Daphnia pulex: one gene and its partners. The protein of the gene in region 1 binds, or shares a complex with, the protein of each later gene. Links are inferred from orthologs where the notes say so. Each region holds a gene or a part of one and is shown on either strand. Other genes may lie near its edges. The genes, in order: eukaryotic translation initiation factor 3 subunit I-like, eukaryotic translation initiation factor 3 subunit K-like and eukaryotic translation initiation factor 3 subunit M-like.

Region 1 (3,050 bases):
AACTTGCCATCGCGTTCAGTTGCAATAAAGGAAGTAGTTTCAATAGCAATCATCCTCATTGAAACGTCGGAGTCGTCGATCAAGTTGAACATCGTATTTGTAAAGTTCGGATATCTGGCTAATACATCCGGTTGAAAATGAGCCAGCGAACCGATAAATTTCATAAGCCCGGGAACGAGCAGGCGAGGCAAGAGGATCTGCAGGAGCCTCGTCCAAATTACCGGCGAGCTTCTCAATGATTCCTTGTCGCTCGAGATAGTCCCGACCATGTTGGCAAGACGCTAGAGTCGTAATAAGTTCCAATGCGTTCAGCTGGGACAAGAATGTCTCCCATTAAAACTTCTACCAGAAGGAAACTGATGAGCTCTTTCTCTTCGCAAAATGCCAAGTTTTCTTGGGATGCGCAACAGTAGGTGATTAGAATATCGTAAACCCTGTAATGGACTTCGTCAGAAGAAAAAGATTTCAAAAGAATTGTTTGTAAACAATATCAGTTATGTTTTCTCCTCTTAAACAGGCGACTCGAACCTGTTTGTATACGCTTAATTTCGTCTCGTGCCCTCTCTTGAGAAATAAATTTTCCCCCCAAAAAAGATTCTCACTCGAGACCTTTCCAACATGATGTATTCAAATACCTTCTCTTATATCGCCCATGTACACGAAAGTGGTCAAAAAATAAACACAAGACAAGTGTTCATAGATGATGGATTGGGTTCTTCGTAGGTTTTTCGCTTTTCTTCTGGTTTAGTAATCGAATTTAAAGTCAAAGTAAGACTGGTCGAATTGATTCAAACGAACGTAACCATCTTCACCACCACTGGCGTACGTCTTTCCGTCGGGATGGAAGGCCAGAGAATTGATAGGACCGAAATGGCCCTTGACACGAGCGAATTCTTCTTCGAAAACCAGATGGAAGAAACGGGCGTCGAACTTGCCGACACGCGTTGAGGTCGTCGTTACGTCCATGGCATCTTGACCACCTCCCAACACCACCTGAAGATTGAAGGAAAACAGTTAGAATCGATCAACTGAATCATTTAGAAGCTCAAGGATCATACGTGATCCATGATGGGTGAGATGGCGGCACTGTTGACGGGTCGCTCAGTTTTGTAAGTTTTTAGGCACTCTAACGTTTCGGCGTTAAAGAGTTTTGCAGTGCAATCCTTGGATGCAGTGATGAGGAGAGCTCCGTCTTTGGACAGCTGCATGTCGTTGATAGACTTGGCGTGTTCTGAAACCAGGTTGTTCTTCTTGCCAGTTCTGTAGTATAAATAATAAACAGGATTTAGTTTTAAGCACTCAAGGTTACGACAATGTCATTCTCACCTGAGGTCCCATTGGGCCAAGTCACCATTGTCGTGACCAGAAATAACAACCTCATCTAGATTACCCCAAACCATTGATGTGGCTTTAGGGGCATTAGTTAATGGAATTCGCAGGATGGGGTCATTTTCACTGAAGGAAGAGTCAACCGTTCTGACATCAATGATGAAGATCTCTGAAGGGTTACCCATAGTACTGTCTGTTGAGTAAAGGGCCATGTTTCCACTGTAACTGAAGTTGCATGTACGAACTGAAGTCTTGGCTTCAATTTTACCCAAAGCCTTGCCTAAAAAAAAACAAAGAAAAGTTTAAGTCGTAATTACGCAATGGGGTCATTTCTCACTGAACATACCAGTTTGGACATCCCAGATCATGAGCATATTATCACCAGCACCAGACATGAAACGTTTAGTTTCCCAATCAACATCAATCGCCCATACGACACCCTGATGTCCCTCGTAGGTACCCAATCGTTCTCCATTGACTGAATACCAGACACAAGGGTGGTTGTCCTTGGCTGACGAGAAGAGCAAATCTCCATCCCGGTTGTACTTAATTTGCGTGATTGAACGCTCGTGACCGTGAAGCATAAGAGGTTTCTGTGATCAACAATAACAGTGGATTAATATAATGAAATTAAATAACAGAAATGCACTGAAAATTACCATTTTTGTTTATATTAATTGGTCACAACTGTAATAATGACGTACACTTCTTTCGGCGTGGGGCGACTGAGGCCTTTCGACGTTTTTACAACACTCGTCTGCCGGCCCTGCTCGATTTTACAGTGTTGCCACCCACCCACCAAAAAACGAACCATCTTTAATCTTATCAAAACTGTTAAACTTTATACAAAAAAAAAAAAAATTAATTTTTATTCTTTAATCACGCGTAACGTTAAAATGACACTAGCAAAAATAATTTTACTTTTCGATTTGTTTCAGAGGGCGCTACTCGCTAGGGAAGTTAAAGCAGTTTTAACATCGTCTGCTATTCTCATTCAACTATTTTGGCGGGTTCCCTCACATTGCGTGTTCCTTCACATTGCGTGTGTCTCGTGGAACACAATTACCAAAATTATTTATCTAGAATGGTGAATTTGGTTTTAAATAATGTTCCCATTGAATTTCCATTCCAGCCTTATGATGTACAAGAGAAATTCATGGAGCGTGTGATAGAATGTCTTCAAAAAGTAACTAGTGTTGCGTTATCGGTCAGTGGACACCTTGCTCTTATTTTGTTATTCTTGATTAAATAGGGTGTAAATGGTTTGTTGGAATCTCCTACTGGCACAGGAAAAACTTTGTGCTTACTTTGTTCGACATTGGGTTGGTTAGCAACACGAAAAGCACAAATACAGTCTGGTCAATTAGCTGGAGATATGGGAGTGGATATTAAAAATCAATTAAGTAATGCAACTGGGCTTGGATGGGGAGATGCTGCTACTCCTGGAGCTGGAGTACCCAAAATCATTTATGCATCCAGAACTCATTCTCAGCTCAGCCAGGTCATTTCTGAATTAAAACGGTCCTCTTACAGATATATGAAGGTGAGCATTTCCTTCTTCCATTAAAGCTATTTGCCTACATGAAATGGGTTTTGATAACCCTTATTTTATTTTTCTTCATTTAAGGTATGCATCCTTGGATCTCGTGACCAACTGTGCATTCATCCAGAAGTGTCAAAGGAAACAAACAATGCTGTAAAGCTTCACATGTGCCATGCTA
Region 2 (3,054 bases), on another chromosome or scaffold:
AGAAAGCCTTTAAACTTTAATGAAGTTACTTTTAGATATTCTGGAGGTATCACTTTTGAAGGAGGAGTTCTTCCCCTTCTCAAAAAATTTGGGAATTCCTTGACAAAATTAGAACTTGACGTTTTCTTCCTTGACTTAGACATTTTAACCATAATGCAATTTTGCCACAAGCTTCAATACCTTTGCCTTCATATGCGCAGCAAATTTGATCGTTGGCCTAAAGAAGAAGAACAAAAATCGGGAAATAAAAGGGAAATTCCTATCTTAAAACATCTGGAAGAATTGATGTTATGTTCTGATGATTCGCTTCATTCCTTTGTCCCCGCAGAAATTGTGTTAATCTTATTGTCTTCTCCGTTACTATCATTCATTTCCATAAAACTTTTGAATAACCTAACTGACAAAATCATACGAAAAGCAACGCATGTCAATTCCTTTCGTCATCTTGAGAGATTGTGGTTAACTCACTGTAACGAAGTAACTAAATACGGTGTGAACCTTTTTTTACAACAGAATATCCCTCTAAAGAAACTGATTTTGGAACGTTGCGATAAGATAACGTTTGAAGATTCCATCGAATGGGAAGAAACTTTGACCAAGAACAATTGGGAACTTGAATTAGAAATACGTCACCCTTACTAATTATTAGTTAAAAAAATAAAAAGGTACAATGTAATACATTTTTTATGATAAAACCACTCAATTACCGCCGGTAATTAGCCTAATATCGGTAATTTACCGGTACTGTTTTTTTTTAATTATTCTTGAGTAACAACACGAGGAAATCTCATATGTTCTCTCTCGGTATCTTATAAAGGTGGCATTTTGATGTTTGCTCGGAATTCCTCGGGGAAATAGGGTTCATAGAGCATGTTTGAGCAACCATTATTAAAATTAGTTACTGATGGCAGCAAGTAACAGTTATTAGTTTTTATTTTTTGTCGTCTTTTTTAATCATTTGAATTTTGACCATCGCCTAATCTGCTAAGTGCTAAGTGTACCGTGAAAATATCTTCTGTCAAAGATTTTTCAAAGATTTAAATGTCAGCTACATCTTCAACTTTTAAAATTGGCGGAAATTCGAATCACTTTCATTGGTTGAAAGAAGCTCCACAGCTCCACCCGCTCCACCTACCAAGGAGCGGAGTTATTTTCCGACTGAGGGGTTTATGAGGGTTTTCGCCCTAAATTATAGCTCAAAAAAAAATCGTTCTATTTGTTTCATTCTCGACTTTTATCGCAGAGTGAAAATGGAAAGTTTCCACTCCTTCACTTAGCTGATAATGCTTTAAATGGCAACAGAGCCTCTTAGGCCGAAAGCGTCTGCTAAAGCCACATTTCCGTCATCCGTCAAAGTCTAGTTACTGATTGTTAACAATTTCAATAACAGTTCATTATAATGGCCGAAAAGATGAAAACAGAAATCGCTTCTATGCTACAAGGAATTGAAAGGTAAGAGAAAATAATCTGAAAAAGTTAACCCCATCTGCATAGTTGAGGAACACTGTAATGAACAATGGCGGTTTGTTCTCTTATTTCTAGGTACAATCCCGACAATCTTCAGAAGCTAGAACGCTATGTTGAACTGCAAGCACAAGAAAATATGTATGACCTAGAGGCCAACCTAAGTGTGTTGCGATTGTACCAATTTGGCCCAAATTTCTACCGCAGTAACATTGTTAATCTGATCCTACTGAAGGCAATGACCAATTTACCTCACACAGACTTCTTGCTGTGCAAATGCCTTTTGACTCAAGATAGGGTATGTAATATGATTGTTTAATCTAATATATTTAATAGGAATTAATTTTTTTACTTTTCAGTTGGAAGAACCTCAAGTGAGCAGAGTAATGGTCCTAGCTGATTTGCTGGAAACGTGCAAATTCAAGCAGTTTTGGGAGGAATTGGCCAAATGTGGTGACCTAATTATTACTGTTCAAGGATTTGAAGATGCTATTAGGAAGTTTGTTGCTCATGTTGTCAACATTACCTATCAAACTATTGAAGTTCCGGTATTAAAAGAACTTCTTGGCAATGTCAACGGTAATGGCAATATTATCCATGTATTCCCTCTTAACATGGTTTTCGACATTTTAATTTTAAAAACCTCTCTTTTCAGATCAAGTTTTGAAACAATGGGTCGGGAAGTGCAGCTGGAAGGACCTGGGCAACGGCCGTGTGTTCATCACGTCGCAAGAAGATTTGGTCAAGACCAAAAACATCACTGAGAAGATCGAATTTGAAAACGTGGCTGGAATCATGTCACACTGCATTTAAAAGTGAAACTGTCTTTGACCGATCTGCAAACAGGAAGAAAGAAAAACCAACAAACAAACAATTCCAAGGGCAGTGTATTTCTGTTTTGTAACAGCTTCATATACACAATTGTCATGTTTGAATTTGATGATCGTTAAACCACCCAAGCAGTGAATCCCATCGCCGTATTTACACCCGGAATCTGTTTTCCTCTCAAGCAGCATCTAATTAAAAGTTCTGAAATTCGATTCTGCTTTGGCCGATATGGTGTGGGCATGTGCCTCTACATTGACAAGTGAATTGGTGGATGTTTTAAATGATTAGCGGGACATTGAAAAAACAAAGAAAAACCATTTTCATTCGCTTCAAAAACGGATGCTGAATCCGCGGAACTCGGGCCGTGCAAGGTATTCCCAATTGCGAAGCTCGGTGTGGTCGATCTTGCATCCGGGGCTACCTGTCCTCGTCAGCCATTGTGCCCTGTGGAGGAAAAAGGTTTGGAACAACAATTTTAATTATTTCTAGTAGTAGAACTCGTTAAACACACAGACGAATCCGCTTTGGCACCGAGCGCATGACGGGTCAGGAAGATTCTAAAAGTAGCTTGTTTCTCCTCGCTCTACAGAGGACGAGCCCAGCATAGTTAAGGTATTTAACGACGTGTCCTGCCCAAACCATGACTCGTGTGCCTTATCTAGAACCTCGAATGGGCTCGATGCCAATCGTCATTTCGTCGTTTAAATCGTTCGGAGCTGCTCCTGCTTCTGCACCCTACGTTCTAAATCTGTAAATTGCTAT
Region 3 (3,370 bases), about 3.0 Mb from region 1:
TTGCATACTTTTCATATAAATAATTTTGCCTTGCTCTTTTAATAATTTTGTCGTCAATATCAGTGATATTCATTACATAAGTAATGTCATATCCAAAGTAGTCTCTTAAGACCCTTCTCAGGATATCAAAAGACATGTATGAACGGGCATGTCCCATGTGGGATGCATCATAGACTGTTGGTCCGCAAGAATACCAGGTGATATTTTTCCCATTCTGAGGAGTAAACACCTCCTTCTTACGAGTCAGACTATTGTAAATCTTCAGCTCCATGCTGCTGTTGTTTAAGGGGGCTTCAGACATAATAGGTGAACAAGGTACAACCAATTTCTCAATGTGTTCCAAAAATTATTATTTATCCCTTCGAAACTTCTCACTCTGTAAGTAAAATCTAGTCATTAATATTTTGAAATGTCTGATGCAATAGTTAAAATGTCTTACTTACTTCTATCTTCTACCTAAATTGCCAACCACTCCAACTATTATATATTTTTGCGATTTGCACGTTAACAGATTTGTGAATGTCACCAGTTAACTTTAACGTTATAAGGAAGTTAACAATTAATAAATTTGAAAAATAAATGCTGGTTCGAATGATAACGATCAAATGAATCCGAAACCGGTGCGTACCTTTGACGGTGTATTCGGTTTGTTTCTTCCAACACCGCAACACGTCAAGTTAGATAGAAATTGCGAGTGAGCCGATAACAGCGATAACAAATGTGGTGATCTTTTATGCTGCAATTTTAAAAGGTAGTAATTTTTTTAATAATAATTTTAAAAAATCAAGAACTGGTTTTAGAAAATTTTGGAAAGCGTGAAAGTGTTGAAACAAAGAATTAAAAAAAAAAAAAAATCGTTGATTTATCTGTAGGGGAACACGGTGGCAATGTCGCCATTACAGACGAACTTCTGTACCGGGATCGTGAGCGTGGCCTATATCCGGATTTTTTTGACAAGCAACTTCTAATAAAGGAATCTTTTTTTCCAGTTTGTTTTGAACAATTTATCAGGATGAGTTTACCAGCATTTATCGATTTAACGGTCGAAGAACAGGTTAGTTTCCCCATAAATTTAGTCCGGTAGATGCTAAACTGTTGTGGCGATGAAGTGTGGAGTCTGCCAGTAGCGTACACCTTTCTGTGTTATAGACAATTTTCCCTACTAGTATTTCTAATTTTTATACCTGTTTTACCACCTGGAGAAAGCAAATAACTGTTATATAGTACTGAGACAAAATTTAAGACATCAAGGCTTTGAATTGGTCATTGTATTCATATCTGTCTTTTTAGGCTACTGAATTGTGTAGCTATTTCAAGGCTCTTGGAGCATCAAATGTGGATGATGATCAAAACTCAGATCTTAGCAACATTGTTGCTGTTGCAGATCTCTGTTTCAAAGTAAGTGACAATTTTATTTCAATTAGTAGTGTGTGTTTACACTATTTTCTTCTTTGAAGGAGGGCAATGAAGTGGAATCTGAGGGAGTCTTGAATAGCATTGTATCTATGCTCGTTCTTCTCCCCAATGAAAAAGCTGAACCAATAATTACTACGTTTTGCCAAAAGCTTGCAAAACCCCCCTCAAACAAGTTGGGACTTGTTTGTCTGAGAGTGTGAGCATTTGAAATTTGAAGTTTACATAATGAATTGTCTAACTATAATTTTGATTCTTTAGTCTGTCTGTACTATTTCATGGGCTTGATCCTGTGAGTACAACGCGTTACACGGTCTATCACACGCTAGTCCAAGTTGCTGGACAAGTGGAACAGATGAAGACAGTGTTCACGGATCTAGATAAAATGCGTACTCAACTAGGGCCATGCAAACCTAACAACGAGCAGATGCAAAAACTCCTCCGAAGTTTACATGAAGCTCTCCTCAACTCCAGAGAAAGGTAAAGTATTGAAGTTAAACAAATAATTGTAACAATAAATCAAACCAGTGTTATTATTCAGTGAACTGGCCTCCAAAGTGATGGTGGAGTTGTTGAGCACTTACACGACCGAAAATGCTTCACAGGCTCGTGAGGAAGCTCAACGCTGCATTGTTGCTTCATTGGCTGATCCCAACACTTTCCTTCTCGATCATTTATTGACTTTGCAACCTGTGAAAGGTTTATAAAAATTACTTTGAAGTTAAATCAGTTATTAATTAATTTTTGTGTACAGTTTTGGAAGGTGCCCTTTTGCACGATCTGTTGACCGTATTCGTGACGGAAAAGCTGTCAGCTTATTTGAAGTTTTATGAGGAAAAGAAAGATTTTGTTGAAGGACTAGGTATTTACTGGAAATTTTTAAGTATTTTTTTAAGAATTTTAAGTAACAATGATTTTTAGGTCTGAAACATGAGCAGAACCTTCGAAAAATGCGAATTTTGACTTTCATGCAGTTGGCTGAAAATTCCGTAGAGCTCCCTTTCGAAACGCTCGAGAAGCAATTACAACTAACCGAAGATCAAGTAGAGGAATTTGTCCTTCAAGTCCTTAAGACGAAATTGGTGCGCGCACGAATGGATCAGTTGAACAAGAAAGTGCTTGTTTCATCAACCATGCATCGGACATTCGGCAAGCAGCACTGGCAGCAGTTGCGTGAGTTGCTGACTACTTGGCGAGGCCACCTCAGACAGGTCAAAGATTCCATGCTAACCATCGTTAACGAGCAAGCCGAACTTCTCGCTCAGCAATCCTGAACCGATTAGAGAAGAAACAAAAGACTTCAAATTATCCCGCTATCCATCTCTATTAAGGTTTTGTGGAAATAAACGATGACGCCGGCACATTATCTGACAAAATCAGACTTTGATCATTATTTCTGTTTTGTTTCCAACATACTGTTGTTTGAAAGTAGGGTAGGAGATAAAAAAAAAATTCTTTTTTTATTATGCTTATTATATGCAACGTGTAAACGTGAGTTAATTCAGGTAGTCTGATTTTTGGCCGGCAGATGTCTCTTTTTCTCACGTGTTGTCTTTTGAAGATCCACACATTTTTGTTTCAGTAGTTGAGAAAAATCTTTTATTTATTACTCAGAATTTTTGGTGAAAATGTCTGTCTATCACGATGAAGTTGAAATCGAAGATTTTGAATATGATTCGGACAGTGAAATTTACTTCTATCCTTGCCCTTGTGGAGATCGGTTTGAAATCACCAAAGTAATGTGACGTCCCCATTCCTTACTCAGATTCCAAGCTTATTAAAAGGTTTACTTTTATTTCAACAGGAACAGCTAGAAAATGGGGAAGAGGAAGCCACATGTCCGAGTTGTTCACTTATAGTAAAAGTAATATACAACAAGGTATGTATATGAGCAAGTGGAAGTTCTGGAAGCAACTGGCTTTCAGCCTGTATAGCATTACACAATATGTCTAATATT

What was found.
Region 2: eukaryotic translation initiation factor 3 subunit I-like (region 1) and eukaryotic translation initiation factor 3 subunit K-like share a complex: the UniProt entries of both Caenorhabditis elegans proteins name them as parts of the eukaryotic translation initiation factor 3 (eIF-3) complex. The link is inferred for Daphnia pulex from reciprocal best matches to the Caenorhabditis elegans genes eif-3.I and eif-3.K.
Region 3: eukaryotic translation initiation factor 3 subunit I-like (region 1) and eukaryotic translation initiation factor 3 subunit M-like share a complex: the UniProt entries of both Caenorhabditis elegans proteins name them as parts of the eukaryotic translation initiation factor 3 (eIF-3) complex. The link is inferred for Daphnia pulex from reciprocal best matches to the Caenorhabditis elegans genes eif-3.I and cif-1.

What each region holds. Positions count from the first base shown.
Region 1 is NC_060019.1:6,193,186-6,196,235, forward strand, and holds eukaryotic translation initiation factor 3 subunit I-like, read right to left. Parts: upstream 2,139-3,050; 5' UTR 1,992-2,138; coding exon 1,989-1,991; intron 1,923-1,988; coding exon 1,676-1,922; intron 1,610-1,675; coding exon 1,327-1,609; intron 1,261-1,326; coding exon 1,059-1,260; intron 994-1,058; coding exon 745-993; 3' UTR 607-744; downstream 1-606. Other genes in the region: regulator of telomere elongation helicase 1 homolog, read left to right, coding at 2,414-2,515, 2,582-2,872, 2,957-3,050. UniProt on the Caenorhabditis elegans protein: Component of the eukaryotic translation initiation factor 3 (eIF-3) complex, which is involved in protein synthesis of a specialized repertoire of mRNAs and, together with other initiation factors, stimulates binding of mRNA and methionyl-tRNAi to the 40S ribosome.
Region 2 is NC_060028.1:2,216,425-2,219,478, reverse strand, and holds eukaryotic translation initiation factor 3 subunit K-like, read left to right. Parts: upstream 1-1,290; 5' UTR 1,291-1,399; coding exon 1,400-1,452; intron 1,453-1,542; coding exon 1,543-1,762; intron 1,763-1,823; coding exon 1,824-2,043; intron 2,044-2,119; coding exon 2,120-2,277; 3' UTR 2,278-2,399; downstream 2,400-3,054. Other genes in the region: uncharacterized protein LOC124209413, read left to right, coding at 1-642; acylphosphatase-2-like, read right to left, coding at 2,622-2,736. UniProt on the Caenorhabditis elegans protein: Component of the eukaryotic translation initiation factor 3 (eIF-3) complex, which is involved in protein synthesis of a specialized repertoire of mRNAs and, together with other initiation factors, stimulates binding of mRNA and methionyl-tRNAi to the 40S ribosome.
Region 3 is NC_060019.1:9,159,516-9,162,885, reverse strand, and holds eukaryotic translation initiation factor 3 subunit M-like, read left to right. Parts: upstream 1-873; 5' UTR 874-1,012; coding exon 1,013-1,054; intron 1,055-1,290; coding exon 1,291-1,398; intron 1,399-1,457; coding exon 1,458-1,612; intron 1,613-1,674; coding exon 1,675-1,893; intron 1,894-1,954; coding exon 1,955-2,112; intron 2,113-2,167; coding exon 2,168-2,275; intron 2,276-2,334; coding exon 2,335-2,687; 3' UTR 2,688-2,789; downstream 2,790-3,370. Other genes in the region: cysteine--tRNA ligase, cytoplasmic-like, read right to left, coding at 1-301; DPH3 homolog, read left to right, coding at 3,042-3,149, 3,218-3,292. UniProt on the Caenorhabditis elegans protein: Component of the eukaryotic translation initiation factor 3 (eIF-3) complex, which is involved in protein synthesis of a specialized repertoire of mRNAs and, together with other initiation factors, stimulates binding of mRNA and methionyl-tRNAi to the 40S ribosome.